Macaca mulatta: one gene and its partners. The protein of the gene in region 1 purifies or fractionates together with the protein of each later gene. This does not show direct contact. Links are inferred from orthologs where the notes say so. Each region holds a gene or a part of one and is shown in the gene's direction. Other genes may lie near its edges. The genes, in order: CSNK1D, GAPVD1, FAM83H, FAM83D, FAM110B, VPS13B and SNX24.

Region 1 (4,153 bases):
CTAGAAATGTTGGGGCCATCAGAGCCCAGGAGGACCAGCTGAGGGAGGAGCAGCTGACAGGTGGGCAGGTGCCCCTGGTCAGGGAGAGCAGGACTCCCCAGGAAGAAGGATCACAGTCACCGCGGGAGAACTGGGCTCTGTTCATCAACAGAAAAGCCATGAGCGATCCTGCCAATAAGGTCAGTTCTACTAGTCTGGCAGCCCCCACCCCAGGCTCCTGTAACTCAGAAACTGGGCAGTTCCGACTGCCTGTGCCTCATTAGTGACTGACGGTGGTCTGGCCAGTGGCATCTCCTGTCTCCAGGCCCTGCTGTGTAACTTCAGGAATGGATACCTGCCTCCCCCACCCGACCTCCAGCTGTTTGGAGCTGAGGGGTGGAGAGGAAGGACTTGGGGGTGGAGAAAGGCGGGCACCACTGCGGGGCCTGCGGGGGCTGCTTTCCTCTTCTGCAGTGACCTGGACGGGCTGAGGCTGTTGTCTCACTCACGCTGTGGTGCCCACACCAGAGCCCTGGTATGCTACTGCCTCAAAACACACATTCACCTGTTTCACGTTCTTGAGTTTCAGCGAGGATGTGACAGGTCTCAACATACATGGACGTGGGACCATGGGTACGGGTTCTTCAAGGTCCCCATGCACCGCAGCCCAGGGGGCTTGTCTGAAGGGCTTTCTTCCCAGCGATGGGAATCAAAGGCCCCAATCTTTGAAGCTGGCCATCAGCCTGAACGTCCACTCCTTGTTTTCTTTTGCAAGGAGGAACATTCAGAACCAACACAGATAAGAATGTTGACTCGGTCTCCAGGCCGCAGGGACTGGCGGGAGGCAGGTGGTCTGGCCTCGTATTGTGAAAGGTGGTGGCTTTGCCCTTGACCTCCAAGCTGGACATCAGGACCTCCGAAGGCGTGGGCCCGCCCTGTCTCTGGCCTTAGGTGTCAGGAGGTAAGGCTGCAGACGCTGACGTCCTGGGATGCCCCAAGCCCGGGAACTGGTAGCCCAGTGAGGGGGTCTCCCCTGTGTCCCCTGAGCCTGGCCTGTCATTCTGTCCAGGCCTCAGCTACCTGTCCCCTCCTGCAAAAGGCACCGCCTGTCGCGAGGAACTCATCTGGCTTCCTCGACATCTCGGGGGACACACGAAAAGCCCCCGCGAGAGCAGCGGGAGACTGCAGGTGGAAGGGGCTGGCGGCCCGAGGTCCAGGGGTAACGGGACGGTGCGGGGCAGAAGGGCTTGGCCCTGCGCAGAGTTGGGAGGAGGCCTGGAGCGCTCGCCCCGCCCGGCCCCGCCCCCGAGGGCCAGGCCCCGCCCCCGGAGCGCCGCGGCCCCGCCCCACCGGGTTGCTAGGGGAAGTGACGTCACAGCGCGATGGCGGCGGCTCCTTTAGGCAGCTGAAGGGGGATTTAGGCCCGGAAGATCCGAGTCCATCCGCGGCGGGGAGAGGGCAAGCGGGGTCGGCAGGGGCCGGAGCAGCGGCGGCGGCGCTCGGACTGTCCCATCCGCCCCGTATTGAGGCGCTGGGAGCGGCGGGGTGACAGGAAAGCGATGGTGAAAGCGGGGCCGTGAGGGGGGCGGAGCCGGCAGCCGGACCCGCAGTAGCGGCAGCAGCGGCGCCGCCTCCCGGAGTTCAGACCCAGGAAGCGGCCGGGAGGGCAGGAGCGAACCGGGCCGCCGCCGCCGCCGCCATGGAGCTGAGAGTCGGGAACAGGTACCGGCTGGGCCGGAAGATCGGCAGCGGCTCCTTCGGAGACATCTATCTCGGTGAGGCCCCGCCGCCCCCGCCCGCCGTTCGAGGACCCGGGCCCAGAGGCTGCCAAGACCAATCGCGACCGCGGAAGGAAGTGGCGGCCCCCGCGGGGTCTGCGTGCAAGTCGGGGCGCCGCCGGGTCGTGGCCAGAACCCAACGGCCACTAGGCGAGCGCGGCCAGGGGTGGGGAGGGCAGTGGGGAGCGGACGTGGGGGAGGGGCAGGGCCAGGTCGGGGGAGCAGGGTCTGGAGGGAGGAGGGGACAGGGGAGCTGACCCGGGGTGGGGCATGGGCTCGGGGGCGCTGACCCGGGTAGGGGCAGGGTCGTGGGGAGCGGACCCGGGAAGGGCTGGGTGGGGCGTGGGGAGGCGGGCCTGGGGGAGGGGCGCCTGGGGGAGGGGCAGGGCGGGGGTGGGGGCAGCGGGCCGCGGGCGGGGAGGGGGCAAGGCCGGGGCGGCGGAGCGGGCGTCGGCTTCCTCCACGCCTAAGGTCACCGCAGTAAACAAAGGCCACGGTCTTTCTTCCGCAGCCCGGTCCGGGGCTGTCTGGTTCCCCCCACAGAGGCTGCCCCTGCGTCTTGCACGCGTGGGGGAAAATGTCAGAAAGACCCAAATGCCTTGTGGGAGTGGGGGAGTGGCCCGGCTAGGAGCGGAGCTTGCCCTCCGCCTCGCAGCCGCCCTGATGACTGACCGCTGGGGGTTCTCTCTCGCCTGTGCCCCTTGGCCTTGGAGCGGTGACTGAGTGCAGATGAGCAAGGGTTAAGTTTAGGTGACGGTAGAGAAAGTCACCCAGGGTTAAGATGCTGGCGAAGTGAGAGGCAGATGAAGTAGTTGTACTCATGAGCTGTCCTTTAGACTATAACAGTCTCACGGTAGATTTCAAAAAACATGGGATTAGAACGTTCTGGGGTGTGTCATATTTACAATGGAAAAATATGCACATGAACACAAGTGTAATGAAAGGTTGGCTTAAATCTTCAAGTTTGTAATTTTTTTTTTTTTTTCCTTTTTTGAAACGGAGTTTCGCTCTTGTTGCCCAGGTTGGAGGGCAATGGCGCGATCTCGGCCTCCCAGGTTCAAGCGATTCTCCTGCCTCAGCCTCCCTAGTAGCTGAGATTACAGGCATGCGCTACCACGCCGGGCTAATTTTGTATATTTAGTAGAGACGGGGTTTCTTCATGTTGGTCAGGCTGGTCTCCAACGCCCGCCCGATCTCAAGTGATCCGCCCACTTCGGCCTCCCAAAGTGCTGGGAAGCCACTGCGCCTGGCGGAAGTTTGTAATTTTAAAGTAACAATTTTCTGCACTTGTCAGTGGGATTGTGCAGTGCGCGAGTTATTCCAAGACCCCTTGCATTTGAGGATATGTAGCCTGAGGCGGTGTGCCTGCAGAGGGGCTGCTGCAGACCTTTGAGGGGAGCTGTTTTCTGTTCCAGCAGCCCTAGCTTTTGGGGCATTTGTCAGCCAGGGTCAGGAATCCCATGGGATGTCAGTAATGCCTCTGGTCATACCTTTTAGATGAACCCACATGTGGACAGTACCCAGTTCTCACTCCCTTCCCATTTTTCACCAGAGAGAGAACTCAGGACCCGGTGGGCTGACAGCGTTAGGCTGAATCCATACATATGGGTGGCTCATACTTCGGGTGCCTGGTTAATCTGCCGGGTAACCCCGTCATATGCCATGTTGTTGCTTTTGAACCTGTACATATGCCTTAGTGGCCTGCTGAGTAAGCAGGCCTTAGACATTTGGGTTTGACTGTTTAAACATTTATACCAGGTGGTCAGCTGGATGTGTTCTTGGCAGTGTTTTGGAAGTCAGGGTGCTTGGTAAATGGAAGTCGTTTGGCTTATTTATAGAACAGTAGATTTTGGCGAAAGTTTTAATCCCAGGATCTGAGTTACACTGCAAAGCCAGTCCATTAACCACCTTTAGGCAGGCATCAAAGAGAAGTATTTTGGGCCAGGCGTGGTGGCTCACGCCTGTAATCCCAGCACTTTGGGAGGCCAAGGTGAGCGGATCACTTGAGGTCAGGAGTTCGAGACCAGCCTGGCCAAAGTGGCGAAACTCTGTCTCTACTAAAAATACAAAAATTGGCCAGGCGTGGTGGTGGCTGCCTGTAATTCCAGCTACTTGGGAGGCTGAGGCACGAGAATCACTTGAACCTGGGAGGCGGAGGTTACAGTGAGCCAAGATCATACCACTGCACTCCAGCCTGGGTGATAGAGTGAGACTCTGTCTAAAAAAAAAAAAAGAAAGAAGTACTTTGAAACTATTTGTTCTCTTCTCTGAGACCTTGTCAAACAACTTTTGTGCTTTCCAAAGATAGAGTCAGACAAATTTTGGTGTGGTTGTCACCAAGTGATTCCAGAGGTGGAGGGTGGAAGGCTGTCTCCTCACTCAGCGTTCTACCCTCC
Region 2 (3,500 bases), on another chromosome or scaffold:
GAACAGTGCTATTGTGGGCATTGTGTTTTTTTCCCCACATCTTTTAGGCCTATTTTATTTGGATTTGTTCCCAGAAGCAAAAAGCCTGGTTAAAGGATGTGATTCTGCAGGTCATTACATACTGGCATGTTGCTGTTGAGGACGGTTGAGCAATATGCTGATATGGACTTCATTTTTATTATTTTTTCGTACTTGAATATTTGTAAACTTTCTTGTGTCCATAAATAAACATAAGCAGTTTAACTGTAGCTGATATTTTTTTTTCAGACAGGATCTGGCTCTGTCGCCCAGGCTGGAATGCAGTGGTGTGATCTTGGGTCACTGCTGTCACAAGCCCCTGAGCTCAAGCGATTCTCCCACCTCAGCTTCCTGAGTGCTGGGACTACAGGCACACGCCACCACATCTAGCTAATTTTCATTTTTTTTTTTTTGTAGAGATGGAGTTTCGCCATATTTTCCAGGCTGGTCTCGAACTCCTGGGCTCAAGTGATTCTCCCACCTTGGCTTCCCAAAGTGCTGGGATTACAGGTGTGAGCCACTGTGCCCGTCCTGCAGCTAATTTTAATTTAGTTCATAAGAGGGCTGGACAGTTTTTAGGATCTACAAACTGATAATTTTCTTTCTTTCTTTTTTTTTTCCAGACAGAGTCTTGCTCTGTTGGCCAGGCTGGAGTGTAGTGGCACGATCTTGGCTCACTGCATCCTCTACCTTCTGAGTTCAAGCGATTCTCCTGCCTCAGCCTTCCAAGTAGCTGGGATTATAGGTGCCTGCCACCATGCCTGGCTAATTTTTGTATTTTTAGAAGAGATGGGAGTTTTGCCATGTTGACCAGGCTGGTCTCGACCTCCTGGCCTCAAATGATTTGCCTGCCTCAGCCTCCCAAAGTGCTGGCATTACGGGTGTGAGCCACTGCACCCAGCCCCAATACTTTTCATTGATTCTGTTTTGATATGAGGAAATTGTCCTTTGTACTTTTTAGTTTTGTCTTCCTTTACTCATTGAGTTGCTGTTGGTCTAAAAAATTTTAGCAATTCAGAGTGATCTTATTGTTGGGACTATAATCAACTCATATATCCATGTTTGGATATAGCATATGTGTTATTATTAATACTATTATTTTGCTTGTTTGCTCATTTTTTTTTAGTGCTGAAGCTTCCCCTGCTGAATGTTGCCAACATGCCAAAATTTTGGAAGATACACAATTTGTTGATGGGTATAAGCAATTGGGATTTCAGGAGACTGCTTATGGAGAATTCTTGAGTCGATTGAGGGAAAATCCTCGTCTTATTGCCTCCTCTTTGGTTGCTGGAGAGAAACTTAATCAGGAGAACACACAAAGTGTTATTTACACAGTTTTTACGTCCCTGTATGGCAATTGCATCATGCAAGAAGATGAAAGCTACCTCCTTCAGGTTTTGCGATACTTGATTGAATTTGAACTTAAAGAAAGTGACAACCCTAGGCGACTTTTGAGGAGAGGAACTTGTGCCTTCAGCATCTTATTTAAACTTTTTTCTGAAGGACTGTTTTCTGCCAAACTTTTCCTCACAGCCACTTTACATGAGCCAATTATGCAACTCCTTGTTGAAGATGAAGATCACCTGGAAACAGATCCAAACAAGCTAATTGAGAGGTTCTCCCCATCTCAGCAGGAAAAACTCTTTGGAGAGAAGGGCTCAGACAGATTCAGGCAAAAAGTTCAAGAAATGGTGGAGTCCAATGAAGCCAAACTAGTGGCTTTGGTGAACAAATTTATTGGTTATCTCAAACAGAACACATATTGTTTTCCACATAGTTTAAGGTGGATCGTGTCTCAGATGTACAAAACCCTCTCCTGTGTAGATAGGCTGGAAGTGGGGGAGGTCAGGGCAATGTGTACTGATCTCCTGTTGGCCTGCTTCATTTGTCCTGCAGTTGTCAATCCAGAACAGTATGGAATAATTTCTGATGCTCCTATTAATGAGGTAGCACGATTTAATCTGATGCAGGTATGCTTTTGCTATTATTATTAATGTGACATTTAGTTTAAAATCAGTTGATTGGGCTGTGGGGGTGGGAACAAATAATATGACGACAATATTTGTATAATCTTACGACATTTTCTCAACCAGCTCTAAGTATTTGCATCTTATTAAATAAAAGCAGTAATACTGGGATTTAAAACTATGGTGGTCACAAAACATTTTGTCTTTGTCTATTTTTTGAGGCGGAGTCTTATTCTGTCACCCAGGCTGTAGTGCAGTGGTGCATTCTCAGCTCACTGCAACCTCCGCCTCCCAGGTTCAAGCAATTCTCCTGCCTCAGCCTCCTGAGTAGCTGGGATTACAGGCATGTACCACCACTTCTGGCTAATTTTTGTATTTTTGGTAGAGAGGGGGTTTCACCATGTTAGTCAGGCTGGTCTCAAACTCCTGACCTTGTGATCTGCCTGCCTCGGCCTCCCAAAGTCCTGGGATTACAGGCATGAGCCACTGCACCCGGCTGTGTTTGTTTTTAAATGGAATCCTCACGCACTTGAATGTAGAGTTGATTAGATTTTCTAGAATAAGTCCACCATCCCTTTTCTATAATTTCAGAACCCAAAATGAACAAAAACTGAATGTCTTCTATACCTTATTTGGTAGCAAAACCTGTGCTGAAGTAACATGAGGCTATTCACAATTTTTTTTTTTTTTCACTTTTCTTTTTTGAGATGAAGTTTCACTCTTGTTGCCCAGGCTGGAGTGCAATGATGCGATCTTGGCTCACTGCTACCTCCGCCTCCTGGGTTCAAGCGATTCTCCTGCCTCAGCTTCCTGAGTAGCTGAGATTACAGGGGAACGCCACCATGCCCAGCTATATTTATAATTGTTATTCCATTTAGTGCTAGTGAATACTCATATTTTGTTGCAGAAATGTTGATTCATTTGATTACAAAATGCCATCTGTATATTGAACATGTTGTGTATATACACTGCATTACCTTTCTAAAATCTCTGAATTCTGAAATCTGAAACTCTTCTAAGAGTTTCGGAAAGAGGGTTTTTGGATGTATATTTTTTTTGCAATCATCTGAACGACTGAAGTCATGTTATTATTTCTTCATGGACTCTTTTCATCACACCTTATCCCTCAGATATAGTGTGAAGAACTGGTGTTTATTTAGAATAGACTATTTTTGGGTGATTTTTATTTTTTATTTTATTATTATTATTATTATTTGGAGACGGAGTCTGGCTCTGTTGCCGAGGCTGGAGTGCAGTGGCGTGATCTCGGCTCACTGCAACCTCTGCCTCCTGGCTTCAGGTGACTCTCCTGCCTCAGCCTCCTGAAAAGCTGGGATTATAGGTGCGTGCCACCATGCCTGGCAAATTTTTTGTATTTTTAGTAGAGACGGGGTTTCACCGTGTTAGCACCGGGATGGTCTTGATCTCCTGACCTCGTGATCCGCCTACCTCAGCCTCCCAAAGTGCTGGGATTACAGGTGTGAGCCACTACGCCCAGCCGTTTTATTATTTTTT
Region 3 (4,093 bases), on another chromosome or scaffold:
GGTACCAGTGGGGTGTCACTGAGTGTCTGGGGAAAGAACAAATGAAACTGGGAGTGACCCTGAAAACAGAAAATAGGATCACATGGCAAGAGGGACAAACAGAAAGGTGACTGATACCATCAGAAAGCGTTCAGGCAGGGCCAGTCCTTGGGGTGGGAGTGGCAGGGGTGAAGGGTGGTGGTTTGGACAGGTAATCCAGTGCAGGGCAGGGCCTAAGTGGGGGGAGAGGCCCTAAGTGAGGGCCTGAGGGGGATTTGGGGGTTCTGGAGCACCCAGGGGCAGCTCGGGGTAGTGTGTGGGGTTGCTGTGTTCATGCGGGGGCGTCTGGTATGTGAGGCTTGGTGTGCACACTGGGTCCCTTGTCCGTGTTGGGGCTTGGTTTTCGCGGGGTCCCCGAGTGTACACCCAGGGTTCTATATGTGTGAGGGAGGTCCCCTGGTCTCTCAGAGTCAGTGTGAATATGGCATCCCTGTTTGTGTGTGGGATCGGTGTCTGAGGGCTCTCATATGCAGGTGGGGTTCCCTACGTGTGCGGACGTCAGCGTGTTTGTGGGTGACTGAAGTGGATAGGACTGGGTGTTCTTGTTGGGTTCTGTCTTCCTGAGGAGTCTCCTGTGCTTGGGGGGTTGGTGCACACGAGGGACAGGTCATTCGGGGTCCGCATGTGCATTGGGGGTCACTGCAGCAGAGTCCCCTACAAGTGTGGGCATGGATGTGAAGGGATGAGGGAGAAAGATGGGGAACCCCAGGTACTTGTGGGCATCAGTGTGTGTGTGTGGTGGGGGTCGGGGCCTGGGGGTCCTCTGTTGGGCGGGATCCCCTCTACGTGTGGGACGCTGGTGCGGTGGGAGACCGGTGTGTGGTGAATGGATCCCCTGTGCTTTCGGGGCTCCCAGACCCGGCCCCGCCCGGGGCTCGACGCCGCCCCAGCGCCCTCACCTGCCGCACCTGCCTTCACCAACTCGGCGAGGAGGTCAGAGCTCCGCCCCTTGCGTCGGGCTGGCTTGTTTCCTAGCGACTGAGCCGGAACTTCCGAGTCACCCCAACTTCCGGGGCGAGGGTCAGGGGTCAGGCTAGGAACTTTGAGCCTGGGGTCAACAGTTGGGCTCCTGGGGGTCGAGGCCTTTGAAGTGGGGGCCTCACGGTCTCCGGCGGCGCTGGGCCGGGGTTTCTGGGCACGTGGCCGCAGGGCACGGGCGAGTCGGGGCGGAGGGTCGGGGCGCGGGCCGGGGGCGCGGTCCGGGGCGGGCGGCGGGGCCGCGGCGGGCGCGGGGCGCAGGAATGCGGGCGCGCCGCGGGTGGGGCCGCTCCGCCCCCAGGTGCTGCCCGGGCAGGCAGGAGGCAGGAGCGACGGGCGGGGCGGGGGCGGGCGCGTGAATCAGGCCGGGCGGGCCGCGGCAGGGAGTGGCTGCCGGACCGACCGGACCGCGAGGCCGCTGGGCGGCGGTCGGCTCCTGCTGCCCCTGTGCCGAGACCCCGCGCACCTGGCCAGGTAGGGCCCCCCTCCCCCGGCCCGGGCGGGGCGAGGCGGGGGCGGGCGCCCCTCGGTGCGGTCCCACCTGGGCTACCCTCGCGCCCGCACCTGGGCCGGGGCCGCGCGACCCAGAGAGGGGAGGTGGGAGTGGAGCGCGGCCGCGTGCGCGGGGCCGGGGCGGCGGGTCAGCTCGGACAGGGGGCGCCGCTGTGCGGATATGGACGCGAGCGCCCTCGCACGACGGCAGCCCGAGAAGAGCCGAGTGGGAAGCGGCCCGGGATCTGGGTCGAGCCTGCCTGGCCGTCCCGACTCGCTGCTGCCCTCGCGGCCTAGCTGGAGTCTGGGTGCTGGGCACGGCCTGGACCCTTCCCTGGGGACGCCCGCCCGGGCCACCGTGGACTGGGGTGGCCAGGGTGCGGCCTGGATCCCCGCCTGGCAAGCAGGGCGAGTGACGGGAGGGCTGCCCGTAGCGCCCATGTTCCAGGGCTGGGGTGGGTGGATGGGGCACCCAGCCGCCGCAGCCGCGAGCTCGCAGGGTGCACTGACCCCGTTGGGGGCTGGGGTGCCCACCCCGCAAGCTATCACTGAGCGACTTCCGGTCTGTGAGCCCTGTCCTCCGCACCCCACCTTTCCGCCTCCTAGAGCCTCCGCGCCCTCCTGGGCCCATCGGAACTTGGCACAGGCTCACCCCACTTTGTGTAGGAACTCCGGATCCTTCCATGGGGTCCTCCTTCCAGATACTCAGGAACCCCACTTCCTGCCAGGGTGGAGAGGATGGGGTCCTTGAAGGCCAGCTGAGGGCCCTGACTTCGAGTCAGAGGTCAGGGGTCAGCAGCAGAAGAGTGGATTCGTGCTGAGTCATTGGCCATGGGTGGGTTCCGTGCCCTACCTCCCTTGGGCAAGCGTTTGGTAGGCAAATGTGTGGGCATGCAGGCCACTGGGGTGCTCCATCTCAGGCTTGGGAGTGTCTGCGGCCCCGTCCATAGCCCAGCAGACACGTACCCATGAAAGGACACGATGTGAGGAATGAAGCCATTGGAGGTCTGGGCATCACCCTGTGATGATGAGGGGTGTCTGCTGGGAGGGCTCCTGGCAACGGGGGATTCCACAGTCCAGATGATCCCTGCCCCCATTACACACAGCCTGGAGCCTGGATGCTGTGTGGATATCCCTCCCCTGTGAAATCCTAAGGGACAGTGGGGGTCCTTTCTAGAGTGTCCCCCAGCGTCGGGAAGTGCCCTCAAACAAGGTTAGCAGGGTTGTTCCCCCTGCCCTGTATGGTCAGACACCGCCCCTACAGCCAGGCTGGCAGTGGTGAGTGGGCGCCCCGGCCCAGCCAGACAGGCCTACACCTCACCCCCATGTGGTTGGCCTCGATCTGCCCTAACGAGCCCCATATGTCAACCATGAGGACAATGCCCCAACAAAGAAATGTTGGGACAGCTTCTCCCAGGCCAGTTGGCATCTGGGGCTGTTGAGTGGCACCAGGTATTTCCCATGTCCCAACTCCATGTCACCCCCGGGGGTACCAGGCAGGACGGCGGCCTCCTGACCCCAACATTCTCAGCCTAGTGGCTCCGGTTAGCACCCGTGCAGTCCAGCTGGCCAGCGCCCATCCTGTCAGTGCCCCAGGGCACACTCCTCTGTCTGGGCTGAACCACCTTCCCAGCCAGGGCCAACATTCGGGAACCTGTGTGCTAGGCGGGGATAGGTGTCCTGCCTCCCTCCCCAACCCGAGGAGCAGTGGGATGGGCTGAGCGGTCCCTAGGGCTCTCCTTCCAGGGAGAGGTACCCAGGTAGCTCGGTGACCCCAGGCGTGGGCCCTGGGTGCGCCCCATCTGACCTTTCTGGAGAGGCCAGGCACCCTGCAGGGACCCTTTGGAGAACAGATTGGGCTGTGGGGCAGCCAAGTATGGATGATGGTGGGGAGCCCAGGACCTGGAAAGGTCCCTGCTGCCCTGGACGGGGGGCTGGTGGCAACAGGACTCTGAGCAAGTGGAGAGCCAGATCTGGGCGATATGGAGTGCAGGCCCTGCAGGGCCCTGTGGGCACCAAGGGGTTGTGGTCCAGGGAGGTGTTATCTGAGAAGGACAGTGACAAGAAAGGTCAAGGGAAGGAGGGGGACTGGTAGACAGAGACAGAGTCTAGGGGTCAGTGTTGCAAGGCTGGGCAGTCATAGAATGGGCTGTGGGAACCCAATTGTGAAACCCTGGGGATGGGGAGGAGGTGTCGCCCGGGGCTATGCGTAGGGCTTAGGGTTGCCATTCCAGGAGGAGGGTGGTCACAGCCCTGTTTGCTGCGCTCACCTTGGCTAGGCACGGTGTCTTGTGGACCCTCAGCTGTGTTGTGCAGTAGAGGTAGGCCAGAGAGGTGCAGTGACCTACCCACGGTTTCCCAGGCAGTCAGGGACAGACACATGCCAGCATGGGTGGCACCAGCTTATCCAGTAGGCACAGTGCCAGGGGCCTGTGAATGTCTTAAGAAAAAAGTGAATACTATAATGATGAATACAGCCTGGATTATGTTTGTCTTTAAGCCAACAGTCATAAAATGTTTTGGGGGGCGGTTGGTTTTATTTTCATTTTTTGTAGCGATGCAGTCTCTATCACCCAGGCAGGAG
Region 4 (4,147 bases), on another chromosome or scaffold:
TTTTTGTAGAGACAGGATCTCACTATGTTGCCCAGGCTGGTCTCAAACTCCTGGGCTCAAGTGATCCTCTTCCCTTGGCCTCCCACAGTGCTGGGATTACAGGTGCAAGTCACCATGGCCAGCCACATCTGAGATTTTATGCTGCAAAAGTAAGAAGAGAGATGGGGAGCTTTAGAGGAATGTAGAGTCAAAAGAGGGTTGTTTTAAGACGAAAAATATTTCAGCATGCGTGTAGGTTGATAGAAATGAATCAGTAAAGAGGGAAGCTGATGTTCCAGGAGAAAGAAGAAGGTTGCTGGAGTGATGCTGGTGAGTAGTAGAGGGGCTGGAAGTGCCCAGGCAGAGGGGTTGGGGTTGGATGGGCACAGGCGCAGTTCATCAATGCCCAGTATATGGGCAGCGATGGAGACAGGAAGGTAGACTAGATGGGCGCACGTGGACGTTCCCTTCTCACTGCTTCTGTGTTCTCGGTGACATAGGAGGCAAGCTGTCAGAGAGGAAAAGGTAGAGAGAATGAGGGAAATGTGGCCTACCAGGCAGTTTTTTTGTTTTGTTTTGTTTTGTTTTGTTTTTGATGGAGTTTCGCTCTTGTCGCCCAGGCTGGAGTGCAGTGGTGTGATCTGGACTCACTGCAACCTCCTCTCCCCGCATTCAAGTGATTCTCCTGCCTCAGCCTCCCGAGCATCTGGGATTACAGGCGTACATCAAGATGCCCGGCTAATTTTCGTATTTTTAGTAGAGACGGGGTTTCACCGTGTTGGTCAGGCTGGTCTCAAACTCCTGACTTCAGGTGATCCGCCCTCCTAGGCCTCCTAAAATGCTGGGACTACAGGCGTGAGCCACTGCGCGCCCGGCCTCCTAGCAGGTAGTCTTACAGATTATGAATGTAAAACATGACCAGTCAGTAAGCATGGTTATGCTCTTTTTGTTTTTTTCTCCAGCCCTGTAGGGCTGCCGGGGTGCAGGTGCAAAGTAGGATACAACCAGGGTTGGTTGGAGTTTTACAAGGCAAAAACTGATGAAATGAGAGAAGACTACCCGAGGGTGTAAGCAAAGGAGCGGTCCTAATATGATGAGCCGGTATTTTTTTAATGAATGAATACGTGGTTAAAGGCAGGGGATAAAGACGATATGTTTGGCCATACCAAAGCTCTGAGAGCCTAGGAGCAGCGTGGCCAACGTGTCTGGGAGCCGGCACCTGCCTCTCCTCACTGCCTAGGCCTGACTGTCCCTGGCCTTGTAGGGCCGCACTGGGGGGCGGCCGGCAGGGGGCGCCCTGGGATGGCCAGGAGCCCGGCTCTCCCCGCTCTGTCCCTGCTCTGCGGCCCGCCTCGCCCCTGCAAGTTTAAATTCGGCTTAGCAACCCCAGCATCGCAGCCAATAACGCATGAGGGGGCGGAACCGTAGAGGCTTGCGCCCCGCCTCGCTCCGCTATTGGAAGGAATGCAGCCAATGGGAGAGTCGAGGCGGGGAGGTGCGGCCAATGGCGCGGGCCTGTTTGATTCAAAGGTTGCCTATAAAGTGGGCCTGCAGGCTGGTTCTTGTCCGAGGGCTGTCGCGTCCGAGTGCCGCTATGGCTCTGCTGTGCGAGGGCCTGGACGAACTGCCGGCTGCCTGCCTGTCTCCGTGCGGGCCGCCCAACCCGGCCGAGCTGTTCAGCGAGTCACGGCGCCTGGCTCTGGAGGAGCTGGTGGCCGGCGGCCCCGAAGCCTTCGCGGCCTTCCTGCGACGCGAGCGCCTGGCTCGCTTCCTGAACCCCGATGAGGTGCACGCCATCCTGCGCGCGGCGGAGAGGCCAGGAGAGGAGGGCGCGGCGGCGGCGGCCGAGGACTCGTTCGGCTCCTCGCATGACTGCTCGTCTGGCACCTACTTCCCCGAGCAGTCGGACCTGGAGCCGCCGCTGCTGGAGCTCGGCTGGCCCGCCTTCTACCAGGGCGCCTACCGCGGCGCCACGCGCGTCGAGGCCCACTTCCAGCCCCGCGGCACGGGCGAGGGCGGCCCCTACGGCTGCAAGGACGCTCTGCGCCAGCAGCTCCGCTCGGCGCGAGAGGTGAGCGGCCCTCCCGGGCTCTGGGTCGCACGGGAGACCCCCTTCAAGAATGGGAAATTGAGGCCTGCGGGGAGCACAGGCCGGGGCGACTACCTCCTCAGCTCCCTACCGGAAGCGCGGGCCACGGGGTCCCGGGGTCCCCGACTCACACCCCACTCTGCGTGTCTTCCCCGGATCCCCCGGGCCGCTCCTGGTGGCAGGGGATAGTGGGGAAGCCTCGGTTCCCAAGGATAAGAATTGTGTCCGGGTTCCATCTCCTAACGTTCATATCCCTGAAGGAGGGACCAGAAGTACTCCCAGCTCCAAATTTCAGTTGAAATCAAACTTGGAAAATTGCCGATTTCCCTGGCTGTCAGCCAACGCTACATCCCACTTTCAGGAGCTTCTTAGGAGACTCATTACCAAAGAACTTACCTAGGGAAAGTTCCAGGAAGGTGGTCTCCAGAGACAACTACGGGGCATTAGGAATCAATTATTATTGCTAATTACTTTCACGCATCTTATGTTGTAAAAAGCAGATAAACACAAGTGGCAAAGTGAGACCCCTGCCGCTTTTTCTTTCTTGTCTTTTTTTTTTTTTTTTCTTTGAGACAGAGTCTCACTCTTTTGCCCAGGCTGGAGTGAAGTGGTGGGAACTCAGTTCACCGCAACCTCCGTCCCCGGGTTCAAGTGATTCTCCTGCCTCAGCCTCCCAAGTAGCTCGGATTACAGGCGCCTGCCACCACTCCCGGCTAGTTTTTGTATTTTTAGTAGAGACAGGGTTTCGCCATGTTGGCCAAGCTGGTCTCGAACTCCTGACCTCAGGTGATCCACCCTCCTCGGCCTCCCAAAGTGCTAGGATTAAGGCGTGAGCCACTGCGCCCGGCCCCCTGCCGCTTTTTCTACTGCCAGAGACTGGAGGGGAAATTTGCCGTTGTGAATGAAAGGGGCAAGGAGTTTTCCATAGGCTGGGTCTGTGCCAGATTGCAGTGGTCTCCTAAAATGCAGATACATTTGCATTAGATCGGCTTCTGTTTTGGTCCTACTGTCTGACTCAGTATGGCATGGTCATGGGCGCAGTGGAGGTCTTGTCTGCTTGCCAGCCTCAATGAAGCTGCAGCAGGGTGTTGGGGATCAAGGAGGAAGAAGGCAGCCTGCATGTGGGTGTGGCAGAACAGTATGGTGGCAGACACCTTGGTCTGGAACCATGGTCAGGTTGCTTGCTGACTGGCAGTGCCCGGCTTCCTGGCTGTCTGCCTGTGCCAGGGACATGGCAGATAAAGCCCCAGCCATGGTAAGACTTGCGAGGGCTGGTACATGAGTGTGTCTGACTGTGGGTGAAGATACCAGTGCATTGTCAGGTTGACATGTCCAAGTCCAAGCCCCAATTCTCACCAATGTTCTTAATATTCTTTCCCTGAATGGTGGGGTTGCAGTGGTAGTGGATACAGTGACCTAGTGCCTTGCTTTTGAGGGAGTGGTTGTGGGCTGCAGCTAGGCTTTTACCAGCCCTGAGGTGCTTTAGGTGGGCTGAGGGTTTTTTGATGCAGTAGACATTTTCCTTGCGGGTTCAGTGAGAAGATTAAAAAGATGGAAAAGGCAGACTTGTGTAGGTATGCGTTCCCAAAGCTCACCTCCAGTAGAACTTGAGCACTTGGAACCTGAAAAATGTAAAGAACTGGTCTATATAGTGAGAGCTGTGGATTGTTCTAGTCTTTTGCCCATCTCAAAATTTTAGTGATAGCAAAGGGGCACTGGAACCAGAGGCCAGAGGGAAATTAAACTCACGTGCTGGCCTGAGGAGGGGATGGAGCCGGGAGCTCAGACTCTCCCTCATCCCATGGGCGTTTTGTAATACTGACATTTCCAGATAGAACCTGCTGCCCTAGTCTAGCTACCCACAGTTCCCTCTGAGATGCTATATTTGGAACGTGGGCAGTTTAAACTGAGAAAGTTACCTTTAAATCCGATGAGTATTGGCTGGATACGGTGGTCAAGCCTGTAATCCCAGCACTTGGGGAGGCTGAGGTGGACGGATCACGAGGTCAGCAGTTCGAGACCAGTCTGGCCAACATGGTGAAACCCCATCTCTACTAAAAATACAAAAATTAGCAGGGC
Region 5 (3,473 bases), on another chromosome or scaffold:
GCCGCGAAGGGGCGGGGCGGGGGCGCTGCGGGGTTTCTCTGTTGCTAGAGCCGTGATGTCACCCGCCCTTCCTAACCCGCGGTTGGTTGTTTTGTGTTTCAGCTCTGCCTGCAGTTGAACACAAAGACCTGGAGGAGACTCCCACCTCTTCAGGGAGAAGAAAGGAGGCAGCGAAGCAGATTAAAGGAACTTGTGGCTTGTGGCCTTTTTGTGCAAGGGCTGCCTGAAAGGGGAGAAAAGTGTATGAAAGCCACCGTGGCGGTTAATGAGCTGTGAGATGAGGCGCTGCTGCGGCCGCTGCTGCTGACACTCGCTCCCAGGCTGCACCCGCTGCCCTTGGCGCTTCATGTACATGTGTCTATTCAGGCCGTGCGGAGGCGTCCAGAAGAGCATCCAACACGGCTGCCGGGGAAAGACCGCCCACCATGCCCACGGAGACCCTACAGACAGGTAGCATGGTGAAGCCGGTCAGCCCCGCGGGCACCTTCACCTCTGCCGTGCCCCTACGTATCCTGAACAAGGGGCCAGACTACTTCCGCAGGCAGGCCGAGCCCAACCCCAAGAGGCTCAGCGCCGTGGAGAGGCTGGAGGCCGACAAGGCCAAGTACGTCAAGAGCCAGGAGGTGATCAACGCCAAGCAGGAGCCCGTAAAGCCCGCCGTGCTGGCCAAGCCCCCGGTGTGCCCGGCTGCCAAGCGCGCGCTGGGCAGCCCCACGCTCAAAGTATTTGGCAACCACGCCAAGACCGAGAGTGGCGTGCAGAGGGAGAACCTCAAGCTGGAGATCCTGAAGAATATCATCAATAGCTCCGAGGGCTCCAGCTCGGGCTCGGGGCACAAGCACAGCTCCCGCAACTGGCCACCCCACCGGTCGGAAACCACCGACCTGCACCGTCACTCCTTCGCGGAGTCCCTGAAAGTCTATCCCACGCAGGGCCGCGGCAGCCCGCAGGAGGGCGGCTCCCACGTGAGCAGGAGACTGCTGGAGCAGTCAGCCGAGTCCTTCCTCCACGTGTCCCACAGCTCTTCGGACATCCGCAAGGTGACCAGCGTGAAGCCCCTCAAGGCCATCCCCTGCAGTAGCTCTGCCCCTCCCCTGCCTCCCAAGCCCAAAATCGCAGCCATCGCCACCATGAAGTCCCCCGAGGCCGACCCTGTGGAACCAGCTTGTGGAGTCAGCCGAAGACCCTCCCTCCAGCGGTCTAAGTCAGACTTGAGTGACAGATATTTCCGAGTGGACGCGGACGTAGAGAGGTTCTTCAACTACTGTGGACTGGACCCGGAAGAGCTGGAAAACCTGGGAATGGAAAACTTTGCAAGGGCTAATTCTGACATAATATCCCTCAACTTCCGCAGCGCAAGCATGATCAGCTCAGACTGTGAACAGTCTCAGGACAGTAACAGTGACCTTAGAAATGATGACAGTGCCAATGACCGTGTGCCGTATGGCATTTCTGCCATCGAAAGAAATGCCAGAATCATCAAGTGGTTATATAGCATCAAACAAGCTAGAGAGTCACAGAAGGTCTCCCACGTGTAAGACAGTGCGTGGAAAGGAGGGAGGGTGGGTCTCTGTGCTTACGCAGTTGTAAAGGTTGTGAGGTCTCCTTGAAGTGTTGTGAGCTTCTCCACTCTTTGTGTTGCTTGTTGTGCAATGTTTTCAAGTTGCATGCCTGTCAACATGGGGACTGACCTGGCTTCCACGTCACCATCGCTGCAGAGCCTGGCCTAACACGCGTCATCTGCCAAAAGTTTCAGGCCAGAATCTAATTAGGGCTTTGCTCTTAAGCAAAACTGTTTACATGAAAATGGTATACGACTTCTTCAATATTTATGTGGTTCTTGTGTTTTTATATCCCGCGCTATTATGTCTTAATTAAAAGTTTTATCAACTGGCTTTTAAGTTGAGAGCAGAATCTTTTTGAAATAAAAAGCCACTTTGCCTACATGTGAGACTATTCCAATGGGACAGTAAATGGGATCTGCTACCAAACAGATAGTGACTGACCACACATAGAACCAGGCTGGGTTTTCTGTGGAATAAAGTGGTGAGCCTGACGTTAATCGTTTACATGTTGAAATTCTCTTGCCACTTAGTGAAGTGTCGCTGGGGTAACAATGCTAAGTTTTGTGTCCAATTCAGTGTGTAAATGTTGGTGGTTCTGTGTAATGCTGACCCCAAGGAAAGACAATCAGATAAAATGAAGGATGGTTAAATCTAGGAGGTTGGGTGTTTGGGGGTTTTGTTGATGTTGTTCTGATTTGGGATATTTCAGAAATTTTTAATACTATCTTTTGACAGAATGGCCACCCTAAAACAAATACTGAATGCCTTTAAAAAAAAAAAAAAAAGTTGTGTTTGTTTGTTTTTGTCGAGAACTACTAATTTCATGCTGTTTCTTTCTTTCTCCCTTTGTTGTTATTTGATTTGAGGGAAGGGAGTGAGGCTTGTGCAGGTTTGAGCTATCAGAAGACATGAACAGAAGTGAAAATACCAGCCATATCAGTAGAGCCTCCCATTCAAAAGTGAACACACTTGGTAGCTGAACCATATCTGAGCAGCGTGATTCTGTTGTCTTGCATATGTTACTCTCTCAGGCTGTGGGTCTCTGTTACAGCTCTAGGAAACTGTAGAATTTCAATGCTATGTAGCTTTTCCACCCCATGGTCTCTAGTGCTGCCTATCAACTTGTCCCCTTTTTTTCCCAATAACCTGGCTTTCAGGTGGTACAGTTAGCTGTCACTCAGCTGACTCTATGATGTGGCAGCAGAGAGGGAAACCTACAAGTGGTTTGCCTCATTGCCTTTGCCACATCTGAAGTTCTCAGCAGCGCTACCTTAGACTTCATCAGCTAATAGGAAACTTTTTATGGTGTAAATGCTGTAAGACTTTGTACATACTTCAGTTGTTATGAAATCTTTAAAGAAAAAAAAGAAAAAGTTACACTAATAAATTGCTCTGGTGCAGGCACTAATGGTGGTGGTTTCTCTTTGTCCTTCTGTATTCTCCTTCCACAAAAGTTTGACTTTGGACTATGAATCAGAAGCAGATTTTTGATAGTCTTGAAGAAACATTATTTCATTAAGTTATATTCACCACATTCCAATTACTCCAAACACCAGTGTTCTTAATTGTGGCTCTAGCAATGTGCTTTTGCTAAAATGGTTACATCAGGGTTCCTAAAATGTGCTGCAGCATCTCAATTCACACTTGTGTTATTTTTGTCTTTTCTTAAACATCAGGATTTTTTTGCATCTTCCACATGACTCTTCAGTTGTAAATATTTATGCGTTCTCACCTTGGAGGCATACCTTCGAAATGTATGGCTTTGTTTTTATTTGTACCATCCCAACATCCGTACCTTGGCATGTTTTCACACACTGGCTCCTCCACTCCTTCCTTCATTCCTCTTGAAAATGTCACTTGTTGAGTGAGTGACTCCTTCCAGGTATCATGGTAGGCACAGGACTTTCA
Region 6 (3,500 bases), on another chromosome or scaffold:
ACATCCATACTGTATGTTAATAGCTCCTGGCTTGCTCTCAAGCTAATGGGCCACACTTCCAGGGAGCCCAGGAGTAGCCATTGTTGGCACTGGCATCTCAGGCAGCACAAGAGCACTGTAGAGGGACAGGAAGGGGCTGCCACTGCCAGGTTTGGGGCTAGCTGCACAACTCCTCTGCTCCATACCTAACCACTCAAGGAAAGTCATACATTGGCAGAGAAGCCCAGTCTTGCTAGAGGGCCTGAGATTCCCTGTGGAATGGCCACTCGAATTAGAGGTGCTATTTCTAATGGAGAGAAAAGGAGCTAAGCAAAACCAAGGGAAATCTTTATTCCCAGGAGGAAGCAGGTTCTGTTAACCAGAATCAGTGTTTGAGAACTGACAATTACATTTCAAGCTAAAATGAGTAATTGGATTGGTGAGGGCCCTTTGCCCTTGGGGAGGCCGCCCCATTGGTAAATAATGAGTGCTGATAAGTGACCATCTTTTCAAAGCTGGCCCCTGGCCTCACTTTTCTCCTTTTAAACAGGAAAATGCTTCAGTCTCTGGGCAGACCAGAAGTCCACATGGCCCTGGACGTGGTTTTGGTGAGGGGCTCAGGCCAGGAGCATGAAGGGTGCTTGCTGCTGACATCAGAAGTGCTCTTCGTGGTGAGTGTCAGCGAGGACACACAGCAGCAGGCTTTCCCCGTCACAGAAATCGACTGTGCACAGGACAGCAAGCAGAACAGCCTACTCACAGTGCAGCTGAAGCAGCCAAGAGTGGCCTGTGATGTGGAGGTACGTTTCAGAAAACAGGGCAAACAAGACTAGCTGGCAGGGAGGTTGGAGTGGCTGCTGGAGACCAAGGAGAGCTGCTACCCAGAGAGGGAGTGTGGAGGCCAGAGGGCCACTGCAAAAGGGCACTGGGAAGCCCCCATCCAGATATGCACGAGCCCTGTACAGGAGAGCCCAGCAGGCGGCTAGCAGGACTCAAGGTCTGGGGCTAAGTCACCATGTCAGCTGAACAAGGCTGATCTGGCTTGGCCGTCATGGGGCTGGGGTGCTCGATGGACAGGACAATGGAGTTACAAAATGAGTGGGTCGGTACAGGAAGGGCCAGGATTGGGGCAGCAATTCCCAGCAACTGCTCCACAAAGGAGGCCCCCTTGTCTGAAAGCCTGAAGTCAGGTCCTTGGCTGCCTGAGGACCCCAGTTGGCTGCAGGGTGCTGGAGGTCTGTGGGTGCTGGAGAGGACCACTGCAGGAGCAAGGGGCATCATGAAAAAAGACTCTCCACTCCCTCCCCTACCCCCAAACCTGGTGACTTCAAGGGTCAACATTTTGTGAGGTGGTCTCTCTCTCTCACATCCACTGCTTTGTATTCTGTGGCTGTGTTCTTTCCCACAGGATGGTTTCCCACCCCATAAGTACCACAGAATCCCCCCCTGGGGATGATACTTAAGGCTCTTGGGGCAGCTCCATGGCTGGCTCCTGGCCTGCATAATGTGGAACAGATGCGCAGGCAAGGCATACTGGGTGTCAGGAGTCAGAGCTGAGCCCCGACCAGAAAGACCCCAGCTTCCTGTAGTCCAGCCCAGGGTAAACAGGTGCACCCACTGGAAAACTGCTCTGTGCTCTTCCTCCTTGGGTGATGGCCTGACCCATAAGACCCTAATTATTTACATAAGAAACAGCCATCTTTTTCCACACAGCAAGATGGTAGTGGATCAGTGGCAAACTGGAGTCTGCTGGTCCTAACCTGGGGACTGAGTGGCCCCAGCAAAGCACAGCAAACCTGCCCCCAGTAGGTTCTGCCTGATCCTCCTTTCATTATTCTCTTCCTGCGATGGGGGCATGTATCTCCGTCACACCACTGTTTGGGTAAAATTATCTGAGAAGATGGAAAGCAGCCAACCACAACAACTCTAAGATTTCTCTAGTTTCTTGGATCATGATCATAGTCAGGCTTTAAGCTAGGGTTTGGCACCAGGACTACATTGCTCCTTCAAGTTGATGACTTTCTGGGAATAAACAGAGGTCAGATGTCCAGGCTGACTTTATTAGATCTGCCAAGATCTTCTATCAGTTGACAATAAAGCAGCGGTGATTTGGCAAGGGATAATATCATTACAATTAAGTCTTTAGTCCTTAATGAGAAACTTCCAAGGCCCTGTGACTATCATTATTCCTTAGCTGCTTGGGAAATATTTCAGATCTTAAACTCTTGAGACTGGAGATTCTTTTGCTGTTGAACTGTCTTCAACTGTGATCCTTCTCTTGTATTTTTGTTTGAGGCAGGTACTGTGGAGAATCATCATAGGCTGGAAGGAAACAGACCTCAGTTTCCCTAGGGGTTGAGATAGTATCTGGAGTCACCACTCCTAAAAGTTGCCAAGATTATTGGGACTGTGGAATGAGGAAGCAGCACTGAAGCTCTGGATACCATTTTCAACACTGATTTTCCATTGCTGTCCAGGGCTGAAAGAGGGTTGGGATTAAGAAATGCCTAAAACAGAGGTGGGAAGACATGACTGAGAGCAGGAGCACTGTGCCTGCACAGCCAAGGCCAGGCACTGGCTGGAAAGTGGATGGGCCAATGCGCCTTCAGCCTCCACATTCTGCTTTCTCTATTCCACTTTCTGTCTCATTAATATTCCTATTAATGACTTAACGGGAATAACTGCTGCCGTAATCCTGTGTCTGTAACCCCAACCTCTCCTACTCACCCCCAAGAAAACTCAAGCTGCAGAGCATCTTCGAGACTAAACCCTCCCAACTGCTGTAATCCGGAGTATTTTCAACATGAGTGGGTGGGGGAGGGTGGCCAGCAGTGCTGTCTTGTCAGGGAGCTTTCTTGAGCTGTCTTTTAGTGCATCCCAACATAATCCACAGACATAAGGAAGCCTGTCTGCTGTGAACACTTCCAGTGAAGACTAAAAGCAGTATTTTAAGATCTTCTATAAATGACTTTTCTGGTTTTTAGCTTTTGCCTTAGATGCTAGGAAACACAGTTCCTTTGAGTTTTGGAAGGAATTAATTTGTAGATGACATCATGCAGTACATTTAAATATGGCAGGATTGAGATTTTTTTTTAAACTCAGCATTTGCTTTTCTTGGTTAAATGCAACCAGTTTAGGGGTAATAATTGCTTAATATGCTTGGCACATTATTGAAATCCCTTATGAGAGGCTCAAAATGAGTCAGAAGGTCAATTTATTCCTTGGCTGGGTTCCTTTCACAACACGGGTTTTCCTGTGCTGCTGTTCAGGAGGAGCAATTAAAACTTTTTGTGTATTCAAAGCTTTCCAGCTGAATTCTGGCCCCATCAAATGATATCAGAGCTCTGGCTTTTGCCTGGTGGTGCAGAGCTTTCATCTGTTAGTGAATCTTTGGGGACCGTTTTTCCCCAAGCTTAAAAACACAAGATCCAAACTCTAAGGGACTCCTTACTTATTTCTCTAGCAAGCCCCTTTACTATCTCTGTGCCATCACACGGACTTTCTCCAGCTGTTAAGACACT
Region 7 (3,500 bases), on another chromosome or scaffold:
TTAACAGTATTATTGATGTTCCCAGGTTTTGAAATATTCACTCTGGATTAGAATCTCCATGAAGGCAGGAACCATTTCTACTTGGCTCCCCACTGTCTTGTCCCCTAGTCAGCATCTAGTGTATAGTAGGTGCTCTATAAATGCCAGTTGAATGAAAGAACAGATAAACTGCAGTATTTGCCAGCACTCCCTAGCATGTGTGTCAGCCTGAATTCCTGGTGGGCAAAACAGAGACCACTCCTCATCTTGACTGTGAGGAATGTTGCTGGTAAGAACTTTGATGGACGGTTATGCCTTTTTGAAATAGTTCATTTGATTGATTGCCTAGCAAACTTCACTTCAGTTTCTAATTCTGTTTTCTGCTTTCACAGGCTGTCATTTTAGAAAATGAAGAACTTCCCAAACTGTTTCTTGATTTCCTAAATGTGCGACACTTGCCCTCTCTACCAAAGGCAGAAAGTTGTGGGTAAGAATCATGTTTGCATATTGGATGTATATTTTAAATTACTCTTCAATGACCGATTGATCTAACAAATAGCCCAGAGTGATGCCTGAGTAGCCTGCCGGCCACGCCCACTCTTTTGGCTTGCTACAGCACTCGCTCGCTGCCTGCTTTTGGTCAAAAGAATTCCTCTGAAGTCGTCATACCCATCTTGTGGCCAAATGGCCATGGTTCAGTAACCCATGTTTAGACTCAAGGAATCAATCTTTTCAATTATGCTGTTACATAGAATGATGTTACTTGATAGGAATTATGAATCTAGATAACATGTTATGGACTCATTAGTGGAAACTCAAGCAAAGTTCATATCCTGGTGGTACACATATTCATATAATTTTAAAGTTATGAATGACCTTAGAGATGATTTGATCCAACTCCTCTCATTTTGTAGTTGAGCAAACAGAGACACAGGAATTTAGTGTCTTTTCCAAGATCTCTTGCCTTGTAGCTTGCAGAACCGAGGCCTTCCAAGGCGAGCCCTCTTCCTCTACTGTCCAGCTGTCTCTCTCAGGAACTTCCAGTGGCAGAACTACAAATCCTAATCCCTATCTATTGGTCTAAACCCATTGGTCCTAAACCCAGGGACCCAGAGGTTTGATATCATTAGCAATTGGGAAAAGCTCTCCCAAAGAATTAACTCTGAAACAAGCCACTTGCCCAGCAACAGGTACATGACGTGGGCTGAGCTAGCCTCAGAAGACCTTCAGAAACATCCATGGCATACTGTATCCATTTACAGGGAAGCAAATCATCACAAACTCTCAAAATCCATGCAGGAGAGAGGTGTACCCATATTCTCGCTGCTTCCAGACCTGCCTGAAGGAACCACACTTAAAACTACAAGAAGATCAAGCAGACCACACCCAAAAGCATGTTAAACCCCAGCCATCCACTGGATGACGGGGCTGCAAACACCTGTCACAGCTCTTCATGAGCACTGTTTACTCAGGGCCACTTTCCACTTATTGCAGAGCAAAAATTATACACTACACTTGGCAAATAATGAAATAATGTGCTGTCAGTGTGTTCTGTTCCAACTTGTATGTGTTTACAGGGAGGTTGGGCTTCGTATATGTTTATGTATTTTTTAGAATAGACATTAGCAATGGTATTGAGTGAAATGTTTTCTCCATTATACAAGCTCAAAAGTAGTAATAAAATCTGAGGATTTTTAAGTAATTATCAGGAAAATTGAAATCAAAGAATATTCCAGTCTTCAGATTCCTTAGGATGGGGCATAGCCATGCTGTGGCTCAGTGGAAACTCACAACTCTTCTTAAAAATATCTCCCAATTCAGTCATCTAAAACTATTGGGTATTTTTTCCTTTGTTGGCATAAACATTGACTCAACGTACGCGGTTTTTTTGTTTGTTTGTTTGTTTCCTTTTTCAAAACTTTTAGATCTTTTGATGAAACAGAGTCTGAAGAATCAAGGTAAGGACTAATCCTCATCAGCCGGGAATAGGATTGTGGTTTTGCTAAATGTTTAATCACCCATGATATGTTTCAAGTTATGTTTTTCTTAAAAACCTTTGTTTGAAAATTGGTTTTAAGATTATAAATATTTGATAGGGAAATACAGGAGTAACCAGTTAGAATTAAGAGTGGAGGAATAAGAGCCCTACATTGTTTCATGCAAGTAATCAGAATGTTTTATCAACAATCGTATTACAAGATTTTTAGGAAAGCACGTTTCAGCAATGACTTATTGTATAGATTGTATATCTGCTTCAAATTCCACAAAGAAATGTTTAGAAGATGAGAGCAGTGCCCATTTGTTTGCTCTCACTCTGTGTGCTATTATTCACCCACACTGTTAGAACATAAACCTTGAGACGTCCCCACACAGCAGTTTGATCCCCTCAAAGCTAGTTTGTAGTGTTTTCTGTTTACCATCGTCCCCTGATGCTGACATGCCTGTTCTTGACCTTTCCAGCAAACTGTCCCACCAGCCTGTGCTGCTGTTCCTCAGGGATCCATACGTCTTGCCTGCAGCCAGCGGTAATCAAACCTGTCATCTGCTAACAGCTCTTTACTGATCTGACCCTGTACCACATAAACCACGTTTTTAATACAGGTCTAACAGAGTGACATTGGTCCAGGGCTTAATAATCTGCCAATAAACCAGTGCTCTTGGTGTAAGAGACATTTAGAATTTTAATTGAGGCCAGCCTTTCAGGAGGAAATGTAATTTTTCTTTCTCTCTTACCAGACTATTTTGAATTAGAGTAATAAGGCAGAAAGGTATTTATGGTCCTTAATTTTTCCGATCATGTCATTTTGGCCTCTGCTTGTTTTTGTCCAGATGCCAGGGTTCAAATTCAAGGATCTAGTCCTTTTTAAAAATGCCTCTTCCGAAAAATCTATGTATATATACATTGCAGGCATATCTCCATTTCTATTTAGATTACAGCATCTTTGATGGCCAACTGTATATTTTTGAAAGTTGCATATTTTAAATACAATTAATTGATTTAAGTATAATTGTAATCAATATTTTCGACTGAGTCTTTTCTCTGTGCAAAGAAATTTAAATTCATCAGAGTCCCTCTCAAAGTATTCTGTTATGCATCTCTTTATGAGTTCATTTGCATACATTATCTCACTTAATTTCCTTAACAACCTTGTGAACTAAGCAGGGCTGATATTATCATTGGCTAAATGGGAAAATTGGGGTCCAGGGAAGATGGTTGATGGGTGGACCTCTTGTTGCCTATGTATTCCTTCTGTGCTCTTTGCACATAGTGAATCTTGTTTCTGGGAGTCACTAAATAGTAATAGATAAATGATCCATTGAAACCCTTCCTATTTCTGACAATAAAACCTTATGAGCAGGAGAAAGGGAACTGCTCTCTCTAGCAAGGATGCACATACTCAGATCACCCACTTAGCTGTCAGTTTGAAGAAAAGTAGCCAGGACGCAGTCCTACTCCTCCCTAAGAAGGGTTGAGGGACCCTTCCTAGTAGCACCCTGATCAGAGTGAACTGCCTTTGCTG

The links.
Region 2: the proteins of CSNK1D (region 1) and GAPVD1 purify together in Homo sapiens (affinity purification with mass spectrometry; 5 studies listed by BioGRID and IntAct, counting the BioPlex papers as one, with this or other methods). This does not show direct contact. The link is inferred for Macaca mulatta from reciprocal best matches to the Homo sapiens genes CSNK1D and GAPVD1.
Region 3: the proteins of CSNK1D (region 1) and FAM83H purify together in Homo sapiens (co-immunoprecipitation; 5 studies listed by BioGRID and IntAct, counting the BioPlex papers as one, with this or other methods). This does not show direct contact. The link is inferred for Macaca mulatta from reciprocal best matches to the Homo sapiens genes CSNK1D and FAM83H.
Region 4: the proteins of CSNK1D (region 1) and FAM83D purify together in Homo sapiens (affinity purification with mass spectrometry; 4 studies listed by BioGRID and IntAct, counting the BioPlex papers as one, with this or other methods). This does not show direct contact. The link is inferred for Macaca mulatta from reciprocal best matches to the Homo sapiens genes CSNK1D and FAM83D.
Region 5: the proteins of CSNK1D (region 1) and FAM110B purify together in Homo sapiens (affinity purification with mass spectrometry; 3 studies listed by BioGRID and IntAct, counting the BioPlex papers as one, with this or other methods). This does not show direct contact. The link is inferred for Macaca mulatta from reciprocal best matches to the Homo sapiens genes CSNK1D and FAM110B.
Region 6: the proteins of CSNK1D (region 1) and VPS13B purify together in Homo sapiens (affinity purification with mass spectrometry; 3 studies listed by BioGRID and IntAct, counting the BioPlex papers as one, with this or other methods). This does not show direct contact. The link is inferred for Macaca mulatta from reciprocal best matches to the Homo sapiens genes CSNK1D and VPS13B.
Region 7: the proteins of CSNK1D (region 1) and SNX24 purify together in Homo sapiens (affinity purification with mass spectrometry; 3 studies listed by BioGRID and IntAct, counting the BioPlex papers as one, with this or other methods). This does not show direct contact. The link is inferred for Macaca mulatta from reciprocal best matches to the Homo sapiens genes CSNK1D and SNX24.

Annotation. Positions count from the first base shown.
Region 1 is NC_133421.1:91,982,589-91,986,741, reverse strand, and holds the start of CSNK1D (casein kinase I), read left to right. Parts: upstream 1-1,353; 5' UTR 1,354-1,678; coding exon 1,679-1,754; exon of another isoform or gene 1,755-1,780; intron 1,781-4,153. UniProt on the Homo sapiens protein: Essential serine/threonine-protein kinase that regulates diverse cellular growth and survival processes including Wnt signaling, DNA repair and circadian rhythms. It can phosphorylate a large number of proteins.
Region 2 is NC_133420.1:22,459,494-22,462,993, reverse strand, and holds part of GAPVD1 (GTPase-activating protein and VPS9 domain-containing protein 1), read left to right. Parts: intron 1-1,144; coding exon 1,145-1,988; intron 1,989-3,500. UniProt on the Homo sapiens protein: Acts both as a GTPase-activating protein (GAP) and a guanine nucleotide exchange factor (GEF), and participates in various processes such as endocytosis, insulin receptor internalization or LC2A4/GLUT4 trafficking.
Region 3 is NC_133413.1:154,097,724-154,101,816, reverse strand, and holds the start of FAM83H (protein FAM83H), read left to right. Parts: upstream 1-1,293; 5' UTR 1,294-1,491; intron 1,492-2,203; exon of another isoform or gene 2,204-2,344; intron 2,345-4,093. UniProt on the Homo sapiens protein: May play a major role in the structural organization and calcification of developing enamel. May play a role in keratin cytoskeleton disassembly by recruiting CSNK1A1 to keratin filaments. Thereby, it may regulate epithelial cell migration.
Region 4 is NC_133415.1:91,796,915-91,801,061, forward strand, and holds the start of FAM83D (protein FAM83D), read left to right. Parts: upstream 1-1,347; 5' UTR 1,348-1,387; coding exon 1,388-2,050; intron 2,051-4,147.
Region 5 is NC_133413.1:68,832,377-68,835,849, forward strand, and holds the end of FAM110B (protein FAM110B), read left to right. Parts: intron 1-102; 5' UTR 103-425; coding exon 426-1,538; 3' UTR 1,539-2,973; downstream 2,974-3,473. UniProt on the Homo sapiens protein: May be involved in tumor progression.
Region 6 is NC_133413.1:110,223,669-110,227,168, forward strand, and holds part of VPS13B (intermembrane lipid transfer protein VPS13B), read left to right. Parts: intron 1-529; coding exon 530-779; intron 780-3,500. UniProt on the Homo sapiens protein: Mediates the transfer of lipids between membranes at organelle contact sites. Binds phosphatidylinositol 3-phosphate. Functions as a tethering factor in the slow endocytic recycling pathway, to assist traffic between early and recycling endosomes.
Region 7 is NC_133411.1:131,973,238-131,976,737, forward strand, and holds part of SNX24 (sorting nexin-24), read left to right. Parts: intron 1-371; coding exon 372-466; intron 467-1,241; coding exon of another isoform or gene 1,242-1,380; exon of another isoform or gene 1,381-1,512; intron 1,513-1,904; coding exon 1,905-1,937; intron 1,938-2,439; coding exon 2,440-2,504; intron 2,505-3,500. UniProt on the Homo sapiens protein: May be involved in several stages of intracellular trafficking.